3 linked regions of the Drosophila melanogaster genome follow. The protein of the gene in region 2 interacts with the protein of the main gene of each other region in a pairwise test. Each region holds a gene or a part of one and is shown on either strand. Other genes may lie near its edges.

Region 1 (6,143 bases), on a different chromosome or scaffold from region 2:
TTGAAGGCGGTTCGAAGGCGTTGGACGACGAAAGTGAAACTAGCGGACCCGGCCAAAATGGACTGGCTTATAAGCTCAAATCGATTCTTGGCCAGCGGACACCATACATACTTAGTTTAGTATGTATATATAGTTTATATATATTTTTATACGTTGACAGCCGCGCCGGAATTTGGATTATCAGCTGCTGATTGCGAACCCTCTTTGTCTATAATTGTTTTTTAATTTCGAAGAAGCTCGAGGAGGCGGGAAAGTGTCACGGCTCTTATTGATCACTCAGTGGTGTTTCCCTGGTATCTCGGCACTCATTTCAGCAACACGACATTAGTTAGATATCTCAATTTGAATCGCACTGCGACTCTTGACTTGACTTGACTAGACTTTCCTCTGAAGGTTATCAGGTTCTGGGGAAAAATTACCGAACTACAAATGTTTATATTAATAACTTGTCCAAAAGAACCGTTTGAACTGAAATACAAAATAAATAAATCGCACTATGAAATTATGAAATTATGAGTTATATATATTTATTTATTTGTATGCATAATTAAATAGTACAATTATATGCAAGTATTTTGAAATTTTATTATCTATCTATATAATCTATAAAAATAATTGATGTTAATGTTTAATAACAAAAACCCCATTTTTTTAGTCAGTTTTATTTTCCGTTAAACTATTTTAAATCTATCCGCCTTATTTTATTGTTTCGCCTAAAAGCGAGTTTTGTCCGTTTAGAAATTCGCCCATAAGTATGCAATGACATTTAAACACTTTACTCGATACTTTTTCCAAATCACAAGGCATTTTCGAAGTAATTTAAATTCTTAAAAAATAGTTCAAGCTACGTGCTTATTTACTTTTTATATTTAATTGGTAGAGTACTAAAAATGTTTTTTTTTTTATAATAAAGAAGGGAAGCTCTCTATTAACCCACTAAGCCTTATGAATTAAACCAGCTGATCTTGCTCTTCATTTTATTACTATTTTTTGGCCGAAATGATAACTTATCTACTTCCTATTTAATTTACCGGTAGCCAATTGGCAATCTCCAACTTGTTTATAAAATCACCATTCACTACGACTAGAAATCACCCAGTACTTTAGCAACGAAAAATATAATTAATTTTTTCTGAAGTAAAATTTTATGAATGCTCCTTAAAAACATTAAATTTATAAATACAATTTTATCAAACATTCCCATTTTTTGTGCTCTATCATTTACCTTTTCAAAAATATTATATAGCAAATCCCTAAGCAAAATCAATACATTTGATTGTAATCTTCGAGCTTTTAACAAATGACTTCTATTCATCTTTATTTAACCCATCTTACCCAGTTGAATACCCCTCAAAAACCAATCCGCTTATCTTGCCAGCAAATAGTGATTGCTGCTTATCCTCTGATATTTATAAGTAATCGCAGGTCGACGTTCAGATTCAGTACGAGTTTATGCTTTGTCCAAAGTTGAGCTGTAATGGAAAGTGAGTGGATTGCAAACTGCCAGTGGTGTAAATCTAACTTTATTGTTTTTTCAAATTGCAGAATTTGGTGCCATACTGGGCGTGGCACTGGTGCTACTGCTTCAAGGCCTAGATGTGGTTAATGGCCGGAATGAGGACATCTGCCGCTTGTTCTCCAATAATACGGTGATCCGAGATCCCGAATCCTGCAGTCAATCGATCACGTGCATCGATTCCGTCAGCTACTACAGTACATGCACGGGATCTACTCCGTTTTTCGACAAGGACACGGGCAAATGCGTTAAGTCACTGTCCACTTCCACGTCCAGCTGCTCGATATCCTGCGCGGATCGGGCCAAGCAATTCGTGGCCGACCCCAAGTCCTGCTACGGCTACTATTACTGTGCGGACGAGGAGACGGCCTTGTACGGCACCTGTCCGCAGGAGACGCACTTCAATGCCACCACCCAGATGTGCTCCCGCCAACACGAATCGGATTGCACCACCAGCACCTTCGAGTACTGCAGCATTGTTAAGAACGGCGTAAACTTCGACAATCTGCAGGGCTGCAATATGTATCACGTCTGTGAGAAGGGCGTCCTGAAGGACAAGACATGCTCGAAAACCTATTATCAGGCCAGCACGGGCGAGTGTGTGTCCAAGGCTCTGGTGGACTGCGATGCCCATCCGTTGCCCACGGATGTCTGCGGCAAGGCCAGTAAGCCCTACGAGAACAAGTTCGTCGCGGATGAAGCCACCTGTCGCGGCTACTTCTACTGCGCCAAGCAGAAGGATGGCACCCCGGACCCCAATCCGGTGTGGAACCAGTGTCCCCAGGACAGATTCTTCGATGCGAGCAGCCAGATGTGCATAACCCCCAGTTCGGTCTATTGCTCCCACGATCGTTGCGACGGTCGGACTGCTAGTTTTGTCGTTAGTGCCACCAAGGGCTGTCGCAACTATCTGAGCTGCTCCGACGGGGTAACCGTGAGCGAGAGGTCCTGCGGCAACTACTTCTTCGACGACCAGCAGGGCGCCTGCACTCCAAGTGTCCAGACCTACACCGCGTGCAAGACGTAGGCATGTATTTCCAATAAAGCTCAGAATGCAATGTGATATTTGGTTAAGGAAGTGTTGTAATGAAGTGCACTAGTTTGGATTCTTTCGGGGACTGTGGAACCTGGATTGTCATAGATATAGATACGCGGCTCTCTAGCGAGTTCGTGTTTATGCACAATGACAAGTTTCTGCTGTAAGCCAGTATCTTTGCTGTAACTCGAGGATCGTAGTTGAGATATATTGTTTTTTTACCCGTTTTTATAAGAACGTAGATTGTTTTCGTTGCTCTAATGCTTAAGATTAGCTACCAAAAAGAACAATAATCTTAAACAAGTTCTAGTTCGAAATTCGAATAAATAATATCTGATGGGTGAGTGAAGAACACCTGTATTTTGTTTAATATTCCTGGAACAATTCAGCTGAAAACTAGGTAAATGAACAAATAGAATTTTAAGAATTCACTCAATCATGGAAACTTTTCTTGCAGGTGGTAACGATGGAATAGCATGGCCTCACCGAGGAGACCATAAATGATAATCACTGTCCTATTCGTTGGTTACAATCAATGTTTTCAAAAGTTCTGATTTTCCAAACAAAAACCTATCGAAAGCGACAGTGAAATAGCAAGGCAGTATATTTTAAAAGGTTGTCATATTTACGGCACAATAACTGCTGACCGTTTAATCGCATCAGCGATAAATATATTTATAGTTCAATTAATTAACGGCCAACAGAAGGTTCATTTGACTCGTAACTACCGTGGGTATACCTCATTAACTAGTGGCACTTTCCTTTTCGACTGAAGTTGCCAAAATTTACTATGAAAGTGAGTCGTTAAGGAATCTGCAGTCAGCTGTCTCGATTTCAATCGATTTCAATCACCAATTACGACCTACTTGAAGGGTTTTACCTCCTTTCGCACAACATTGATAAGATTTGCTCATAAGAGAGGCAATAAAGCGCTGGTATCAGCAGAAGCAGTGGCAACGATAATGACTCCTAGTTAATATAAGATTCTTCCATTCACGAAACTCCATTTAGTCGCGCGTAATTGGTTCCCGAGGCCACATCAAACCACTCGATCTATTCTGTTGCAAATTAAACCAAAGTTTCCCAGCAATCAGCCATGCTAAGTGAGTTTTATGAACCCATTAATTTACCGTCATAGATATTTACTTATACACCCTGATTCAGCCTTTATTTTTAGTGAAAAGTAACAGCTTGCATGCGTTTTTAAAGATACAATTAAAATGTAGAATCTAGATATTTTGTTCATTCATATTCATTTTTATAGGTATATCTTTAAAGGTTTTTAAGCATATCTATATGTTTTTCAAAAGGTGTGCTGTATCAATCTAATATCTCGCGATCATATGTATATCATTCGTAGACCTCAAACTTGGAGTGCTTCTCGGATGCGTTCTCTTGTTGGCTACCGTAGCTCTTTCGGCGAGTGTCGGTGAATACGAGGAGCTGTGTCGCCTTTTCAAGAACGGGACCAAGGTTCGCAAGCCCGGCACCTGCGACCAGTACATTCAGTGCTACGATGGCAACGGCACCGTCCTGACCTGCCCCTCCAACCAGTCCTTCAATCCCAGCAAGGGTAGTTGCGTGGACACGTTGGCCAACAGCAACAAGTACTGCGGCAATCGCTGCGAGGGATTGGATGGCGAATGGGTGGCCGATCCGACCGAGTGCCACAAGTACTTCTACTGCATGAACGGCGTACCGCTGGCGGGGATGTGTCCCGTAGGCCAGCACTTCGATGAGCGCTCTCAGTCCTGCCTGTACGGCGTGGACTCCATGTGCGTGGATGTGAACAACATTTGCGAGCTGGTGGCGGAAAATACGAAGTTCCGGAATGAGAAGGACTGCGCCTACTACTATGAGTGTGACAAGACCGGTAACCATGCGTCCAAGAGCTGCACTGTCACCTCCAAGAAGCGCGAGTATTTCGATGTGGAGAGCGGCAATTGCGTGGAAGCCAATAAGGTGGAGTGCACCGCCCATTCGAAGGAGAACGTCTGCACCAGCAGCACAACAATGACATTCAAATCCGACCAAGCCACCTGCCGTGGATACTTCGTATGCAAGGCCCTCTATCCCGTCGCCGACCTGGATCCACTGTGGACGCAGTGCCCCGAGGGCTACTTCTTCGACGAGGATCGGCAGCTCTGCGCCAATCCCACCACAGTGGTGTGCACCCACAACAGATGCGACGGACGCGGCACGATGCTGGTGACCAGCAGCAGCAATAACTGTCACAACTACATCCGGTGTGTGGACAACAAGGAGGTGACGGAGGAAACCTGCCACTGGGATCACTTCTTCGACGAGACAGTGGAAGCGTGCTCCTCCAAGATCATCTACGATAAGTGTTGCGATGGCCGGGACTAAACAAAAAATAAATTTAACTAAAAGTGCAAAGAAAAAGAGGTAGTTGATTTTTATTGGCGATCAATATATCCGTTAAAAGCAAAGACACTAGAAAGGTACACAGGTTAAAAGGGTATACTAGATTCGTTGAGAAGTATGTAACAAGCAGAGGGAAGCGTTTTCGACCATATGGAGTATATATTCTTGATCAGGATCAATATTCCACAAACCACCCAAAACTGTCACGACCACACTTTCGAACAATTTTTAAATTATGGTTTGGTTTTTAATTTCTACTAATATTCAAAAATATCGGGGACTTCGACTATAGCATTTTTTTTTGTTTTTATTTTGTTTTCAAAACAATTATATTTACGATTTGGCTTGAAATTTCAGTTTTTTTGGGTACAATACAAACATATACTATGTGCTTTATGAGCAATCCATTAATAGCACACATTTAAAATTCAGGTAATTGCCCGTATGGTACGCATTAAAATTAGACAACACATTTCTAATCTTTCTAAATTTAGAAATCAATTAGTTTTATCGTTCTGTTGATCAGTTACCAAAATGTAGAACAACATCCACATGAAAATACCAAGATTAATAGTACCGTCTTGTTAACTGTTTCTATTTGTTTATCTACAAAACGTAGTTGAGTTAATTTGCAATAAAACGAGAGCTTATGCTCAGGAAAATAAGAACTTTTTTATATGTATGCGTAGGACAATGGGAAGTAAAAAATAAATCCGCAGTTTTTTTTTAGAAAACTCAATTAGTTTTGCGTTTTCCATACGAAGTTGCCGCTTTGTTGTTGCATTTTTGAAATCATCAACGACCGTTACATTCGTAATTAAAATTTTACCGATTCGGTTTCGGCTGTTATCGATAAATACACCCGCACAGAGAATTTAAGTCGCAGCACTGCGCCTTGCGTGTTGTTGTACTTTAAGTTGTACCTAATAATAATTCCTCAAATAACTTATACAACTTAGCTCCACGATGTCTTTTAATGCTTAAATTGAATTAATTAATGTTTCCAATAATGCGTTGTATGATGCTCAAAAAACGAATGCGCGCGCAGAGTGACCATGTGTACCCGGTAAAGAGATGTTGGTGGCGTTGTGCGGCTGCCACACCGCCAGAACGGTATAAACAATTTTTATATTTTGCACTTTTAAATGTCGGAAAATCAATCTGTGAGCCAACCTAATATGAAAAGCGACGCATGGATCAGCTGAT
Region 2 (11,124 bases):
CTTATATTATCTCTAATTTTTATTCAACATTAACTTTATCTTAGCTTCGATACAAAAAGCTAGGATATGTTTCATACACGAGTCGATGAATAATTACTGATTTTCAAAATAGCTATGATTACTATTTGAGCGTCTGCCTTAGCCCACATTCACTGTACTCGTATATCACACACTATGTTTCAATAAGGCCGCTGCTTGAGGCTGTTGGCGTTCGGCTTTATTGTGTCTGCTCTTGCGGTTCTCGTTATTGTTTTTTGGCAAGCCTCGGCCCAAGTCCAATTCGAAATGTTGAATTGTTGTTGAGCTATTTGTTTTGCACATTTTCAGTCGCTTGTCGCCGTGCCTGGCCTCTCCTCCATCGTCATCTACATCTCCATCGTCATCTACATCTCCATCTCCATCTCCACTGCGATCTCGAGACTCCATCATATTTTTGCAGCCATGACTAACCTCTGCTTGATGTTGTTGTCGTTGTTGTCTTCGAGTTGTCTTCACGCATGCGCCGTGGGAAATATTTCGACGAGCTTTCGTAGAAACGTATCTTAGATCTTATGCGGGCATCGCAGCCGAATTCTGCCTGCCAATGGATCGCAGATCTAGCTCTAGCTCACATTCTCGCAGCCAAATGTTAAGGTTGATTCTGGCACACGAGGCGTATACTCACTTCCTGTAGCATGCTCGCGGTACACGCTGCGTATGAGCGATGTGGAAGCGCGTGCCGGGGCCAAAAATTGCAGGTAATTAAGCAGAAATAAAAGGCTCCATCCCATCCATCGAAATCGAAAAGTTCGCAGCACTCCAGCATTGATTGACACAAGCACTTGTACTTGTACAATTTGCCATTTGTGTTTACCCAACTTCTTCGGTTTTTGTTCTCGCACTGGCTTTTGTTTTATATAAAAATACATCAAGAACGATTTGTTTTGTTTTCAATTTGTTAAGTTTCATTTTTTCCCCTTTTTTGTTCTGTTGACTGATGGCGTACGTGTTATATATTGAGAGCCCATTAAGATGGGGCACGGTAATGGGCACATAAAAAATGGCAATTGGTGAAAATTTGCTTATATCCGATGCTGATAAGCCATCGCAGATGTTCCGAGGTTTTTTGCCTTTAAGCGGTAATCAAAGCACACTTGACTCGAAAATTCTATATAACAAAACTGAAATAGCACATTGGCTGCGAAAAAAATGTAAGCTTCCGCTAAATGTCTAAAATAAAAGAGAAAACTTCAATTGAAATTCAAGCAGCGATGAAATACAAGTTTTTAAGCATTTAATCTAGATCTGGCATATCAGCAACTTATTTTATAGCTGCGGAAGTAGCTCATCCGAAAATGCACTTCGATTTATCAGTATATATGTATGCGTATGCTGAATCTACTAGACCACGAATGAAACAACGTTTTTTAAACTAATTAAATTGAAATAATCCCTTTGCAAAAAGCCCATTCCCCCAGATCACGTCACTTTGCGACTGCCAGCTTTAAATTCCAGCAATGTCTGATTTAATTAATGGCTTCCCACTCGGGGGCGCTATGACCGGACAATTCTAATTTATTATTTTGCCAGTCAGGACACAATTACTTTGCTTTCCCATATTTCACATTGGGGCTCCATGCCAGCGGAAAAAATAAGCAAAAAGCCCAAGCAAATGGGCGCAATGTCGGGCCAAGGTCATCGCAGGACTATTGTGTTGGTCCTGACTGAAAAGTGGGCGTTGCCCAGGTGTCAAGAGTCAAGTGTCAGAAGGACTCCACTGGTTCATATATTTCCATTCAACTGAAATGTGTACTCGATTTTCCTTTTTGTCCGAACAAAGACGTATTCTTTTTAATCCATGTAAATCAGACAAGATCCTTGACGACGCTAAGTACTTTGTGTGTCATGATTTAAGGGAAGTTTCGTATATGATTTATACTTGTTTGTTTCTCCCAGGCATATTTTTGATAAAACTGGGCTGAGCACATGTAGTTGAATCACAAAATGTCGTCGTTTTCGATAAACGCACTAATTAATCATCCGAAAATTTACATAATTAACTATTCTTTGTTAAGCTATAAAATTTCAGTAACTATGATTTAAGAAATGTAACATAAGAAAATAATATGTTGAATAAAAGAGAAACTCTATAAATAAATAACTACAACGCTTGTCAGTTTAGAATGCGAATGATCATTACAATTAACTAGGAGGTTTCTATCAATCCGATTCGGAGTGAAGTGTATTAGTATTTTTGTACCCGTATCAGCACGTGTTGCATTCAACCGCCTTATTCTTATTTAACTTGTTATCAGTATTAAACCCGTTATTATCTATAACTAATAGTGAAGTACACATAGCCTATACTATAATGTTTCTAATCAGGAAACCTTAAGATAAAGCTAAGTGGTATTTTTAATCTAAGCCAAATTCGCTAGTCTAAAGACGTGACATTAACTTTAAAACCAGGAATGACCTTTTCAGACTCGTCTACACACAATATAATTTTAAATATTACACACTTTTTGGCGAATTTACCCTAATAATTAGCCATTTTATGATTATGATAATAATGAAAATAAAATTAAAATAAAATAAAATAGTTTATAATAATAAAAATAATGTTATATATAAAGGTCGAACAGTTTCAGACCATAATGTAAGCAAACTATACATACAAAGTGTGCCTACGTTGTTTTCGGTGTACTATCTCGATCATTTCTACTCTTATATTTGACTTATACGATTACACTTTATTTTACACCAAGCTCACAGTCATAAAATTGTGATTATACGCATTTATGAGGGCCTCATAAAAGTGTGCTTGGATTTGTGATCTGCGATTTTGCGGTTATTAATTTAAAATGGCAAATATACTTCGAAGACAACACCCATAAAGATAAAGTGAATTTGATTTTACGTCAAAATGTCATGGAAAAGTTCGGTATTCTCTGCTTGGAGTACACTAAATTAATTAAAGAAATTGTTTGTGAAGACATGATTTCTGGGCCGATTTCTCTGATAAGAACACCGAAAAGCAACGGAAACTTTTCTGCAAGCGTCACTGTCTGACGTGAATGATGGGTGGGTGTAAATATTACCCCTAAATAACTATTTGCAGTCCATAAATTTACTGATTGGTCGGAATTTTCAATTTAATATTTTTGCATGGTTTGTGTCTTGGCTGACGCGTGTGGGGTGTGGTGAGTTTCGGTGCCTGGCATGTTGTGTTTTTAAGCGGTGCGCCCGCGCAGCTAAACAATTTCGAATTCATTCCCTTTCAAAACTTTGGATAGTGCAATTAAATTAAATCGATGAAGAATTTGATATATATATCTATAAACGAATAAGTTCTCTGATTAACTTTCTTATACTTACGCATAAAGCTTATATTAAAGCGTATAGAATGTAAACATAAAAGCTCATAAAAACTAATTTGTTTTTAATAATTAGTTACACATTTATATAAACATTTAGTTAATACGCATAATTACATTATTTAGTTTTTTATAATTTAATTAATATAAATGTGCGCTCTTCGCATGAATTTATCTCTCTGCCCCTCTCTCTTTATAAATCGCGCTCTTTCTGCGCCATCGTTTTTGGTGCCTTTGGCTTTTTGCTGCCAAATGCGGTCGCGCAGTTTTTGTCGTCGAGTCAAAGTGCGCGGATCACTCCTCGAGTGAGCTAACAATTCCTGCCGAATTGAATTAAATATTTGTTAAGTGCAAGTTAAGGTGTTAGCTGTTGTTGTTGCCGTTAAGTCGAGTTCGTAAGCAGGTGGCAAAGGTGCCAAAGTGAGCTAATAGCAAAACAAGGTAAACTTCTAATTGAAAGTGATCTTGAAAATGCATAAAGTACATAAACTTTAAATGGGCATATCAAAAAGAGAATATTTCAACATATGTGTATTATTAATGTTTTTAATTAAGTTTAGATCTAATCAAATCAGTTATCCTGCAATATTATGCTGTTAATGGTGTATTTATAAGCTTGTAATCGATTTATTTATATTTAGTTTTTGAGTTTAATATAAACTAATGAAATGTAATTGCTTATATAGCTAAATAGTGACAAATTTAATAATTTAAGTTAAGCAAGTATAATTCAAAGTAACTAAAGTTTCTCCCTGTGCACCGAAACTAATGCTGTAATACCGTTTTGCATTTTTTTCTAACCCCTTACTTCGCCATTTATCAAATCTACTTTGATCTGTTTTCCTCTTGTTATGATTTTTGGAATTTTGTGAGACCGCCCCCGCATGTCAATCGTAAAAATATAACAATTTATGTACAATTTTTACTTTTGACCGCCAGCACGATTCTGAGTAATTAAAAGCCGCGAATATAAAATGTTATTCTTGCCAAAAGATGTGTATTTGAAAATTCATACATTTGGGACATTTCATTGTGCTTTTCATTTTGAAACCAGCGTTGCGTGAAACGATGCGGTCGTGCGATCTGTTTAAGCTTTTAAGATTTCTATATGTTTTGGTATTGTGTTCATTGGCTAATTGTTATTTAGGTACGGCAATGCCATGATCCGATGATATGGTAATGGGTCTTACAGAGCTTGGGGCATTCAGTTCGCTTCATATCTGACACTTGTGATTGATGGGTTGACCGCAGCAATTTTCTGGTCTCTGATTTGGTAATTTAAGTGAAGAATGTCCATCAGAAGCCTGGCTTCACTGTGGCCCCGAACACGTGTGGGAGTTTGGGCTATTAACTTTGCAATTGCCTCTGTGTGTGTGTGGTTTCCCCCCACTTTTATCGCTCCTGCCCCTCCCACGTTCGGCGTTGCATACAAATTTAGGGCTTAAGTAAGTTTTATGGCTTTTTAAGTGACAAAGTTGCGGCAAACAATTGCAAACGTCTATATCGCCAAATGCCATCAGGCGACGAACGCAATTGGAGCTAGGCCAGATACAATAGTTCAAAAACAATGAATATGAAGTCCAGTTCCCTGATTTCAGGCAAAGTTAACAGCTAGTTCCTAAGCTTTAATAGTCTGCATTACATTGTTGTCCCTTAACTTTTTCAAAAAACACTAAAATAGTTAGAGATCATGTGACTGCCATATTGGTAATTACTTTGATGCCAATAAATGCTACTCAAAACGGCAATAGTACCGAAAACACTTGAAAAGTGGTCAAGATAATTTGTATACTCGCTTTTAGAGTCCATAAAAATACATCAAGAAAGCAAAGCCAAAGATATTAGCTCATCAGCTTCAGAAACGGGAGATTTATACCCGTGTTATCGGCATGTTTTTAAATTAATGACGAATGTCTGCGTATGCGGCGATTTTTCTTAACGACATTCTTCAATATTTGCATATAATTAAATTTTATTGGAACACATTTTTAGCCGCCCCTCGGTTCAATTCGGCGAGAGTTCAAGTTCATGAACCCCTTGTTCATACACGTTTCGAAAGTCACAAAAATGCCTCGAATGACGAAAATCAGAACGAAATGCGTTGAAATGCATTCGACTTTGTTGTGTGTGCGAAAATATGTGTGAATTATGTGGATTTTGTTCTCGCCGTTTGTGCTAATTTGTTGAGCAAACTTTTACTTTATTGTTCGGATATTATGCGAATTGGCACGGACCCACTTGTACACTGGCAATTAGCCACATTTGTTGGCGCGCTATTGAAAATTCCAGAATTGGTGAGGGGCATATTGGGTTTCCAATTATAAAACAAGCTTATCATCCATAAATTGCGGCCCGAAATAATCGCAAAGCAAACTTTAATCAGAGCCGATTAATTGCTTAGATTTTTCATTCGAGGACCCAACACCTTGTGGTTGTACATACACCATTTAACCATTCTCATTAGCTGCAACCAAAGTGATAATCAGCACCTGTGAATCCGCACTACGGAATGTCAGTTAGTAGCTGGCCAATTAAAGCATTTCATAGGAACTAATAAAGATTATAATTACATGCTCAAATTGTTGAATCCGTTTTCACAATGCATGATTAACGGTCGATGACAAATATTGAAACTCTCAGGTTTTTACCCCGTTTTCCTCAAACCTCCAGTCAATGGAAATTGTTGTGTGGGTAGATTTTCGCTCTATGGCAAGGCATTCCACTTATCCGTGGGCCCAACCTTAAGTCAACTCAATTACTATTTGATCATCCAGCGCACCCCCTGCACCTCAATTAAGGAATAGAACTCGCTTTTTCATATCAGAGCACTTGAGTCTATTGGCTGATATCGATATGGGGCTCATGCTCGTAGATGACGCAAATGAAACACGAAATTCATTAAGATTGCATTAGAAAAGTAAATACTCGAAGTGATGAACAACTTGAATGCTTTGCGAGCATAGAAAATGGGAATTAACATTGAGCGCTCACTGATTGATTACCAAATGAAATGATATATGCAATATAAATTATTTTATACATACATACTCGTATGTATTTTTAAAGCTCTCGATGTTCTTGATGTGTGGGGGCATGGCCAACAAGTCTTAGCCCATTTTTGGGCCTGTTCGTGACCGCGTTGCGCCAAATAAGAAGAGCAAAGCAAACGCTTTCCACTGATGCCACTCTAGAACACTCTAAAAAAAAACCAGGCCTAATCCCCCCGCGGCTACAAAAACTGCCGGTTAAAAACTCAATTGCGAGTTCTGTTCACTCCTGACGGCGTTGTGCTCAAATATTTACATCGTTTTTATGACCCGTTGCCAATTAAATATTATACACTTTGTTTGTTTTATATATATTCTCACATGCAGCTGCAATTGCTGATAAGCTGGCAGTCGTCGAGTTGAGAGGAGGATTGCCCAGTTACCCACTGGCTGCCTCCAGTTACCCACTTTTAATGACAAGTGCTAAAGTTGAGCATTTAATAAATAAACGTAGATTAAGAATTTTTGGGACACAAGCCTTGAGTTAAATGAAAACCCCTAGACTTTTCCAATTGAAGACCAGACAGAAGTGTCGGCCAATTAGGCATCGTGACGGAAATTGCAGCGGAAATGCAGATTGTCAAAACTGTCACCAAAGGCCAAAACAATATCGCACCTTAAATGAGTGATAAAAGTGGCTAAATACCTGCTGAAGTCGGACAATTGTCCACTTCCATTTTCAAACACATTTCCATTTGCATTTTGGATTGCCATTTGCATTAACTACCAGACATCGTTCACTGATATTTCCGTTGGTCTTTTTTTTCAGTCCGTCAGTTTTAGTTGAAAAGTGAAGCGAAGAAGATGGGAAAATTCGAATACTCACTGGGTCTCAATGAGGTGAGTGCAAATCATACAAAGACAAAGTTTAATCGAAATACCAGTCAGTTATTAAAAATATCATTAAATAATGCTACTTTACTTATTAATTTGTCTTCTAGCTCAAATCCAAGGAGCTGCGATTGTGGCAGGCCTTGATTGGAGAATTCCTTGGCAATTTGATCCTCAATTTCTTTGCCTGCGGCGCATGCACCCAAATTGAGGATGGCACCTTCAAGGCCTTGGCTTTTGGCCTGGCTATCTTCATGGCCATCACGGTGGGTGGCTCGTTAATCTACGACATTATTCATACCCATATTCAACTATATATCCTTGCAGATTGTGGGCCACTTGAGTGGTGGTCATGTGAATCCTGCCGTTACCGCTGGAATGTTGGTCGCAGGACGAATTAGCTTGATCAGAGCCTTTTTCTATGTGGTTTTCCAGTGCTTGGGTGCAATTGCCGGAACTGCAGCGGTTAAGGTAGGCATTACACACATAAATTATTACATACATCTGAGTGAAATTATTAAAACAAAATACTCATCAGATTCCACTATTTCTTATATCATCATCATCAATTATATAGAGGTCGTCATTATGACAAAAAAATCTAACCTATCTTTACTTCTATGGTATATCTACAAAACAGCATTGCCAAAGAAAAGTCATTTGGCTTGTAAGTGTCTCAATCAGAACTGCCAGATTTCAAAATCAAATCCAAAATGTAGTCAATTAAAAAAATGTATAAATAATAATAAATATAAATACTTACTCGTTGTAAGATGATTGTTTGCAATGCTTTTGAGCTTATCTCGCTTTCTTAAAATAACACACTGAGACACATATGTACATACATGTTATTAAGTTTATTATTGTGATTGCCTCACATCCGGTTGCGGTTAAAAATGCCTTGTGTTTTGACCATTACTTTCTTTCGTTGAGTGGATAAATGATACGGGTACGCCAATGTCAAGAAAGTACTTTGATTAAATACTCGTATTTTTCGGTTTTATTTTGTATTAAAAACTACACATTTTAAAAAACAAATGATTTAGTAGAAATCACCAGTTCAATGAATCAACTTAAAATCTAATAGTTTAAAGTATTTTTACATACTCAACAAAACTAAGAGCTATATTTATTTTTAAGATTAAGATATCTAATCTAATCTATCTATCTATCTATATATAAATATTTTTTTTATACCAACACATTAGATTCTCATCGATCAGGACTATTACAATGGCCTGGGTCACACCTCTCTGGCGCCCAATATCACCGAGCTGCAGGGCCTGGGAATCGAGTTCTTCCTGGGACTCCTGCTGGTGCTCGTCGTCTTTGGGGCCTGTGATCCCCACAAGCCCGATTCCCGCTACACGGCGCCCTTGGCCATCGGAATGGCGGTGACCCTGGGTCACTTGGGCACCATCCGCTACACCGGGGCCAGCATGAATCCCGCTCGCACCGTGGGCACCGCCTTTGCCACCGACATCTGGGCGTCGCATTGGGTATACTGGGTGGGACCTGTGCTGGGGGGCGTGGCTGCCGCCCTGCTCTACACCCAGGTCCTGGAGGCGAAGCCCGTGCCAAAGGTTAACGAGGCATCCGAGAAGTACCGAACGCACGCCGATGAACGCGAGGTGAGAGTCAGGTTGATAAGCGCCTGGAGCGAGGAGTCCTTCTACTGATCCGTGATTCCGCCCACCCATTACACACACACACACACACACACACCCATCACACACACAAACACTCACTCACACTTGCATTGTAAATACTCCCGAATTACTTGATTTCAGGGATGCAAACCGAACCACAACCCGAACCATTTGGCATATACATATCTCGCTTAACTATAACTATTAAATGTGTTATGTTTTATCGCTTTAGCAGCAGATATTCGTATACTAAAGATATTACGACCTGCACGCAAAACTAATCTAAACCGCTTTTGTGAACCGAATACGATTGGTTTAGAAACTCTTCAATCCTATCAACCGAACCCGTCCGCCATTTCGATCGGTTTGCATCCCTGTTTAATTAGCTAACTAAATTTTGTATTATTGCAATTTATTTACTTGCAGATGCGCAAACTGGAGGGAGCCCGTGACTACGCCTAGATATAAAGAAATCTTTGCGACTCGAATCTAGGGATACAGATGAAATCTGTGTGTTTAATCCATTCATTTCAGTGTCTAACATAAACATGTCGTGTTCTTCTACGTTCGTGTGTATTTATGTATTTATTCATGCAAAATTCATTTTTAACTAACTAATATTTAATGTGTAAGCTGCCCTAAAATGCAATCTACAACAAAATTACTTGTACTCTCATGCGCTCACAATAAAGTGGAAAACATTAACTGAAACAAACTGGTGTTTATCGATTTTGTATCTTAATATAAAATAAAATATTACTATAAAATTGCTATACCCATGAAAAAATTTAAGCAATTCAATAAAATTCGAAATAAAATATAGCTAGCTAAAATTTTCATTGGTTTTTGCATCTTTAAAAAGAGCGCAATGAAAAGCTTATGCTGCAAGCTTTTCCGGCCGAGTTTCCCAACACTCGGTATGCGGAAAAGCTCCGTGGCAGCATACGGCAAAAGCGCCATGCGCCAAAACTGTCAAAAAGCGTTAAGGGAAAATCGGAAAATCCGCAGTCGTCCCCGTCGTTGGCCATGTAGTTGCGTGTGACCTGCTAAATAAATTACAAAATTAACAAATAAAAAACGTCTATCGACACTAATTGGCCACAACTTACTGTTCAACAATTGATAAATTATTCGAATTAGTGAATTAAACAATTGGCAAGTGTGCACAGTTAAGTGAAAGGCCAGATGAAAATCAAGGCAAAGCGATGCACTAAAGTGTTGTGGGCCAAATCAATAGAAAAGCAGTGAAGGAGAAAAGTCACCAATCGACGGAAAAGCGACCGAGACCACGGCGAGGGTCGAATGCAAATTGCAGTAGACCTCGTTAAGGCTAAGAACACAAGTTGGCCGAGTTAAGCTGGCCAATCGATTCCGAGAATCGGGACCATCTTATGAAACAACGGCCCAACCGCCGACCCGGAAAAGTGTGAAACGAAAGGAAAGGAAAAGTGAAAAGTGCTGGGAAAAGTGGAGAGGCTGCAGCGTCGTGTAAACACAGAGTCGCACAAAATCAATACTCGCGTGTGTCTGGGCCAACGAAAACCAGGCAGTCAAACATGAACGAGGACTCCAATTCGGTTGGCCAGTAGTAACTGGGACTAAAGGCAAGTAGTTAAACGGTCTAAAAATATGCCATTCGAAGCCCTGCTCTGCACTTGACCCACTATGCAATTAGCTCGTTATAGCCATTAAAGCTTGATAAATGGCCAGGAAATGTGATCGGGAGCTATAATCATCGCTAAAACGTTGGCATTGCGCACACTTGTTGCACGGGAACCATAATTTGACCCACTTGCATGCATGCCACACACAAGTCGAAGACCAATATAATATGTATCTCTAATATCTTTGATGCAGTGGTGCATTTTTGCTTTAGCGGCTTCCATATTGGCAAGACTTTATTCTCGAAATTGGGTGGTGCGAAGCCAAAACCTTAACCTGAAAAGATCGATATACCGGGTATATATCAAAGGGGTATATTAGTTTGCAGTTCAAGTTAAAAACAGACTCTAAATATGTCTTTTAAAGATATGAATTTTAGCAATCGAATATACTGTATGTTTGCTGCAGCAATAAATTTAAATACATTAAGTAGATATCCTTCCGGCAGGCTTATATCTAAATGACCATCTTGCTATGTACAAATTTAAACAGCATTATTTGTAATAGGTATCCATTAGGCAGTTTACTTTTCACTCGCTTAAAGAATATTCTTAGCTGTGAGTGGCATACATATAAATA
Region 3 (5,296 bases), on a different chromosome or scaffold from region 2:
TCCTTGTATCCTTCTCGTTTCTGGCATCACTGCGTGCGGCACTAAATATCGATTTTAATAGGAAAGCTGGATTTTTGTGCATCTTGCTGGTTGTTTGTCCTTGGGCTGACCTTTGCGAGCTGCATCCTGTAGCCGGCTTCTGGCCAGGTCCTTGAAGGGCTGCTGGAAAGCTCCTTGGACGGCGATGATTCTCAGTGCCAAACTAATTTAAGCTGCATGCCAATTTGCCTTGAGACATCGAATGTTTATTAAATGTCTGAAAGTAAATACAAAAATGTATGCAATAGTTATAGTGAAAATTTCCAACATTTTTTATGTATTTATTATGCCGAGCTTTAATTTTAATAATATCCTGTTGTTCCATGCTGGATTATTAAAGTGCCTTCCTTTTAGAGTAAATAAAATTTACGTAAGCTTTTCACCAATAGGAGGCATTGAATATTGGGGATTTATTTACATGCCACAAATGCGTATGCACATAATTTGCATGAATGTTACTACAAAATGATGTCCTGACTGCGGAATTAGGCGACATGTGCCGAGGGGAAAAAAACCGAAATTCAAATATTTCCAACCGAAATTTAAGTATGCGAGCTCGAATGCAAAAAAGGATAAGTCGAATTCGCTAAAAAATAAAAAAAAGAAAACAGAAACAAGGAAAAAGGGCTTATGGCGGATTTATTTGGCAACACACGTGTCTATGTAGTCGGCAAATCCCACAGTCTGGAAAGCATTTGCCTTCCCGATCAAAACCCAACATCATACAACTGAAAAGCAAACACAGGTTCACGCAATTCAAATATTACCGTGAGCTCTCTTAAAAGATACAAATTTGCAAAATACACACACAACAAAAATCGTAGGTGGGGTTTTTATGAAACATGAGGAAAAGGTAAACGAAGAGGAAAATTCAAAAAACACATCAAGTTATCCAATAAAATGTATATTTTCCGATGATTGTATGAAAAGTATTATAATGAACATATGCACATGTTTGTTATATTTTAGTTATCTGCTGCAGACACTAAACGAGTGGAAGTAAGTTTTGTCACATCTTTCTTTCTTTTATTTGTAGTTTAAATATTAATCATCCTTTATATTCGACATATATGTACATTTTCTCAAGCATAAGTGTGTTTGGCCATACAAGTGGATCAGCCAAGTTGCTCCCACAACCGATGGCATAGCAGCCATCGTGTAATTTCCCAGCCTACTTTTCCGCCAAAACGTTTTGCGTCTAATGAGTTTTCTACTTGCGGTTTCGGGGAAAATTTGCGCAAAAATGCGACTCTTTACATTTAAGTGCCGAAGGGGAATGGAAAATGGGTGGTTGGGTTGTTATGGGGCATCGTGGTTTTTACCTTGGTGGTGAGAAGTGAACAACAGGACCGTATGCGCTGTAAATGTTTTAGTGGTTACCGCGTTTAAGTCATTAGAGAAAATTCTTGGCGACCAGAAAAGGGTTGGGTGAACTTTGCTTCCAGAATTTGAATCTCAAAGTCGCTGAGCTAAATGTACGTACATATATTATGCGGCAGTTTTTGGCTGGCTTTGGAAATTTCAATAGAGGCGGCAAATGCTTTGGATTTAGTGTTTACAAAGCTTGTGAACAGTGAAAAGATGATCCAACATTAATTATGTACGAAACTGAAACTGTGAGGGGAAACAAAATAAGGAACTTTAACAATTTCTTTAGGTATTCCCTTTGAAAGTTTCTAAGAACATGCTTGATAACCTTTAAAATCTAGAGTGGAATATGTGGAGTATGTATACGTCCTTGAAATATATATAGTGTGTTTTTTATACGAAAATAAAAATGTGTCTGTAAAATTAATTAACCAACTTAAGTTGATTTAAACATGGTTTTCTTATTCTTATATTAAACAAAGTGATAAAACTCAATAGATTATTTATAGTGTAATTACACTCAATACACCTACAAACTCAGAGTTCATACAAGTGCTAACTAAACAGTCTGCAACATTCGGTCCTAAAGGGATTGATACATTTATTTGACTGCCAAATATTGTACACCCGTTTTTATGTGCGAAAATATCGGCCAGAAATGTCTGCCTATATTTAAATAACTCTGTCGCAATGACCGTAGCGAAACGTGTCCGACAACGGTTTTAAAAAATTAACAACATTGCTCCAATTAGTCTGGGCAGTGCGGATCATAATTGTATGGGCACACATCGTTCTTATATAGTATATACATATGTATATTTCGCAGGCATTCGAATATCCAAATTTGCGTCACGGCACTGAGTTTTTGCGACTCCTTTCGTTTTTAAATCCATTTGGTTATCACCATGGACAGACGCTTAAATTGAATTTATAAATAGTAACAGACCACTATTTAACTAATAGACTCAAATTCGAACAGCAAAGACTTACTAATCAAACAGATGTCGACTTACTTAAGAGCTAGTTTTTATCGATAAGTGAGCTGGATTTATTAAAAAACTAAAAAAAACCCAGCTAAAAGTCCTTGAAATTTTTACTTTTATTTTGCACTGCTAATAAGATATAATTTTGGGCTTCCTAGTTGATTCAGTATTCCGAGATATAATGTATATTTATAATTATTTACTAATATTTGTTAAATATAACTAATAATTATCAGGTCACTGTTAAACAAATAGTTTTACCTATTCTCGCTTTCGCCGTCAGATGGCTGAATCGAATTTGGCAAAAAGGTAATTTAACTATTTACGAATGGTTTTCGTCGGACATATGGTGGTGATGGGCCTGACTAATTATCCACTGAGATCTGCACGGCCGACAAAGGAAAACAAACAAATATTTACGGAACACACATCCATTTGATTGCCTGCGGTTGGTGGACCCTTCCTCTTCATTTTCATCGCAACATCTGGTCCTGAAATTGAAGGACCTCTGACCAAACGAATCAGCTGTGTCCAAGGTCGCACCCCTGTAGTTTTAACGGCAAACTCCCCATTTCCATTTGAGTCAATACTCATCGCCTTTTACCTTTCGGTTCCGCAGTGGGTCAATAATTAAACTAACGATGAAATTGATACGTTGTATATCCAAACTCACATTTATCTATAAGTTTTAGATACGGTATTTATGTGTTTCCTTCAAATAGTTGTTTGAGTAGATTACAAAACTAGAAACATGGTTGAAATTGTTATTTATTTGTTTCAATGGAACCTATTTAAACTTTCTCACCCAACTTGGTAAAAATTAGAGCTTATTTTGCATCACTATTCTAGCGAATCCGTTTCGGTCATAGGCTATTTCCCTATGCCGGATCGATTTGCACCACATTAGCATAGCTCCATCGACAAATGCGTTAGTATCTATCCGGAAATGGAGCGACTTAATTTGTCGAACAGGGCTCGCCTGTTTTTCCACCTGTCGGCCACCGTTCACCTGGGCTATGCCATTTACTTTGACTGTCGGTATGCCCAGTTGCCACAAGTGGCGGTGACCCTGCGCCTGGAGCCACCGATTGGTGGCAAGTTTAAGTACATGACGTTTCTGTGCGGCCTTTTGCAGTTGGGGTACTATACACTGGCGCTGACCTTTGACCTCCTCCGATTGAGATCTCTAAGGAAGCTGCGAGACTACATCTTCGCCACCTTTGCCGTACCTCTGGCCCTTACGGTGGGTCTCACCTTTTGGACACTCTTCGCCATCGATCGGGAAGTGATATATCCGGTGCTTTTGGACCTGGTCTATCCCAATTGGCTGAACCACACCATGCACACCTTCGTCGTAATCTATGCCTTTGTGGAGTTGGGTATTACACGACATCAATATCCGAAACGCAGTCGAGGATTCACTGGACTGGGTGCCTTCATGTTGGGATATCTGGTGTGGATACATATCGTTTGGTTCCGGACCGACATCTGGGTGTATCCCTTTCTGGGCGGCATCGCCTGGCAGCTGAGAGTAATTTTCTTTGTCCTTATCATGGTCCTCGGATTCATTTACTATCTCTTCGGCGAGCGAGTTAATAACGTCTTGTGGCAGCGATCTACTGGTGTCCACAGATGGATCGATTCCCATTGAAATGCACATTTGATAGTTTAAGGATAGGAACATAAATAAAGTATATAGGATATGCTTCTTATTAAATTAAATATGACTACTGTGGAAGTCAAGCTATGCAACTATTCAAATCGTACAAAAGGCGCAGTAATAAAACTAATATACATTTTTGTAGAAACCATAAAATTCAATTCGAAAGTAATAAAACATGTTTCCGGTACAAAGATCAATTGCAATATAAAAGTCGAAATCATCTAATTTTTCAACACACATAACGGAACCGGAAATCGCTCTGAATATATTATTTTGGTTTTCAAATGCGTTTATCATCGAAAAACCAGCTGCTAAGAAGCGGAATCCATATGGATTCGAACATATTCTCATTCAACTATATGATAGTCACGTGCGGAAATTACAGCTGCCAGCTGATTCTGGAAAACCGATCCATTGTTTTACTCAATCCTTTCAGCGGGAGGTTCCGGTTTGGCTAGGATGTGGGCTCCGATTTCGAATATTTCAGGACACCACTTGTGCCAATATTTCGAAAGTGATCTCCGGACAGCCGAAACTCAGAGAAGAAAGGCACAGTTTTTCATTGTTTGCTGCAAAGGCAGATGGGTAACAGCCCATTTCTGTCAATCACTCATTTGTGTTTTCTTAAGGCGGTCTGGTTGTAAACATTTCTATTCTTCCGGTTGTATGCCATTATTAGCAAATAACTAAATTATTGCTTTCTTACTTGCTTGTTAAAACAGTGTTGCCTGAATCGTAAAAATGCATGAAATTAGACTTAAAAATGTTAATATAGATGTTACTTCAACAAAAATCAACTAGAAATTCACTTAATGAATAAGCGTTTGATTGGAACTTTGGTAATCTCTACCTAAAGCGCAGATCATTTTGATGATTCAATTCTAGACCAGCAACATATGAAAAGGTTATTTGGACTACGAATTTATTAAAAAGGTTATAAACCTTTATACAATAATATTAACTGAGTCCGAACAGAAGCCGCATTGTTGACAAGCCGTTAAATTTCGATTAGCACACGCGAACAGCTGTTGAATTGTTTGATCAATTTTCGGGAGTAGCACGTTTGAAGATCGTTGATGCATACAAACCAAGGTCAACGACAGCTAAAAAAAAAAATCCGCCGAAAATGATGGCCAAAATGGTGACTAATAGTATGTGTATATATTTTAACAAAATTCGGGAGCCAATTAAAAGCTTAATAGCTTTCCCCAAATCGCACTAGGAATACTGCGGCAAAAGGAGC

The links. Proteins that work in one complex are often made in the same cells at the same time.
Region 1: the proteins of Prip (region 2) and CG17147 interact in a two-hybrid assay, tested with the Drosophila melanogaster proteins (one large-scale study listed by BioGRID).
Region 3: the proteins of Prip (region 2) and CG6149 interact in a two-hybrid assay, tested with the Drosophila melanogaster proteins (one large-scale study listed by BioGRID).

Annotation. Positions count from the first base shown.
Region 1 is NT_037436.4:20,220,375-20,226,517, forward strand, and holds CG17147 (uncharacterized protein), read left to right. Parts: upstream 1-3,557; 5' UTR 3,558-3,648; coding exon 3,649-3,655; intron 3,656-3,912; coding exon 3,913-4,919; 3' UTR 4,920-4,950; downstream 4,951-6,143. Other genes in the region: CG17145 (uncharacterized protein), read left to right, coding at 1,478-1,484, 1,546-2,543.
Region 2 is NT_033778.4:11,432,626-11,443,749, forward strand, and holds Prip (prip), read left to right. Parts: upstream 1-3,617; 5' UTR 3,618-3,797; intron 3,798-7,172; 5' UTR 7,173-7,207; coding exon 7,208-7,243; intron 7,244-7,344; coding exon 7,345-7,500; intron 7,501-7,561; coding exon 7,562-7,705; intron 7,706-8,442; coding exon 8,443-8,865; coding exon of another isoform or gene 8,866-8,913; exon of another isoform or gene 8,914-8,995; intron 8,996-9,024; coding exon 9,025-9,078; 3' UTR 9,079-9,115; coding exon of another isoform or gene 9,116-9,136; 3' UTR 9,137-9,247; intron 9,248-9,309; coding exon of another isoform or gene 9,310-9,345; 3' UTR 9,346-9,591; downstream 9,592-11,124.
Region 3 is NT_037436.4:11,433,502-11,438,797, reverse strand, and holds CG6149 (uncharacterized protein), read left to right. Parts: upstream 1-3,321; 5' UTR 3,322-3,336; coding exon 3,337-4,041; 3' UTR 4,042-4,103; downstream 4,104-5,296.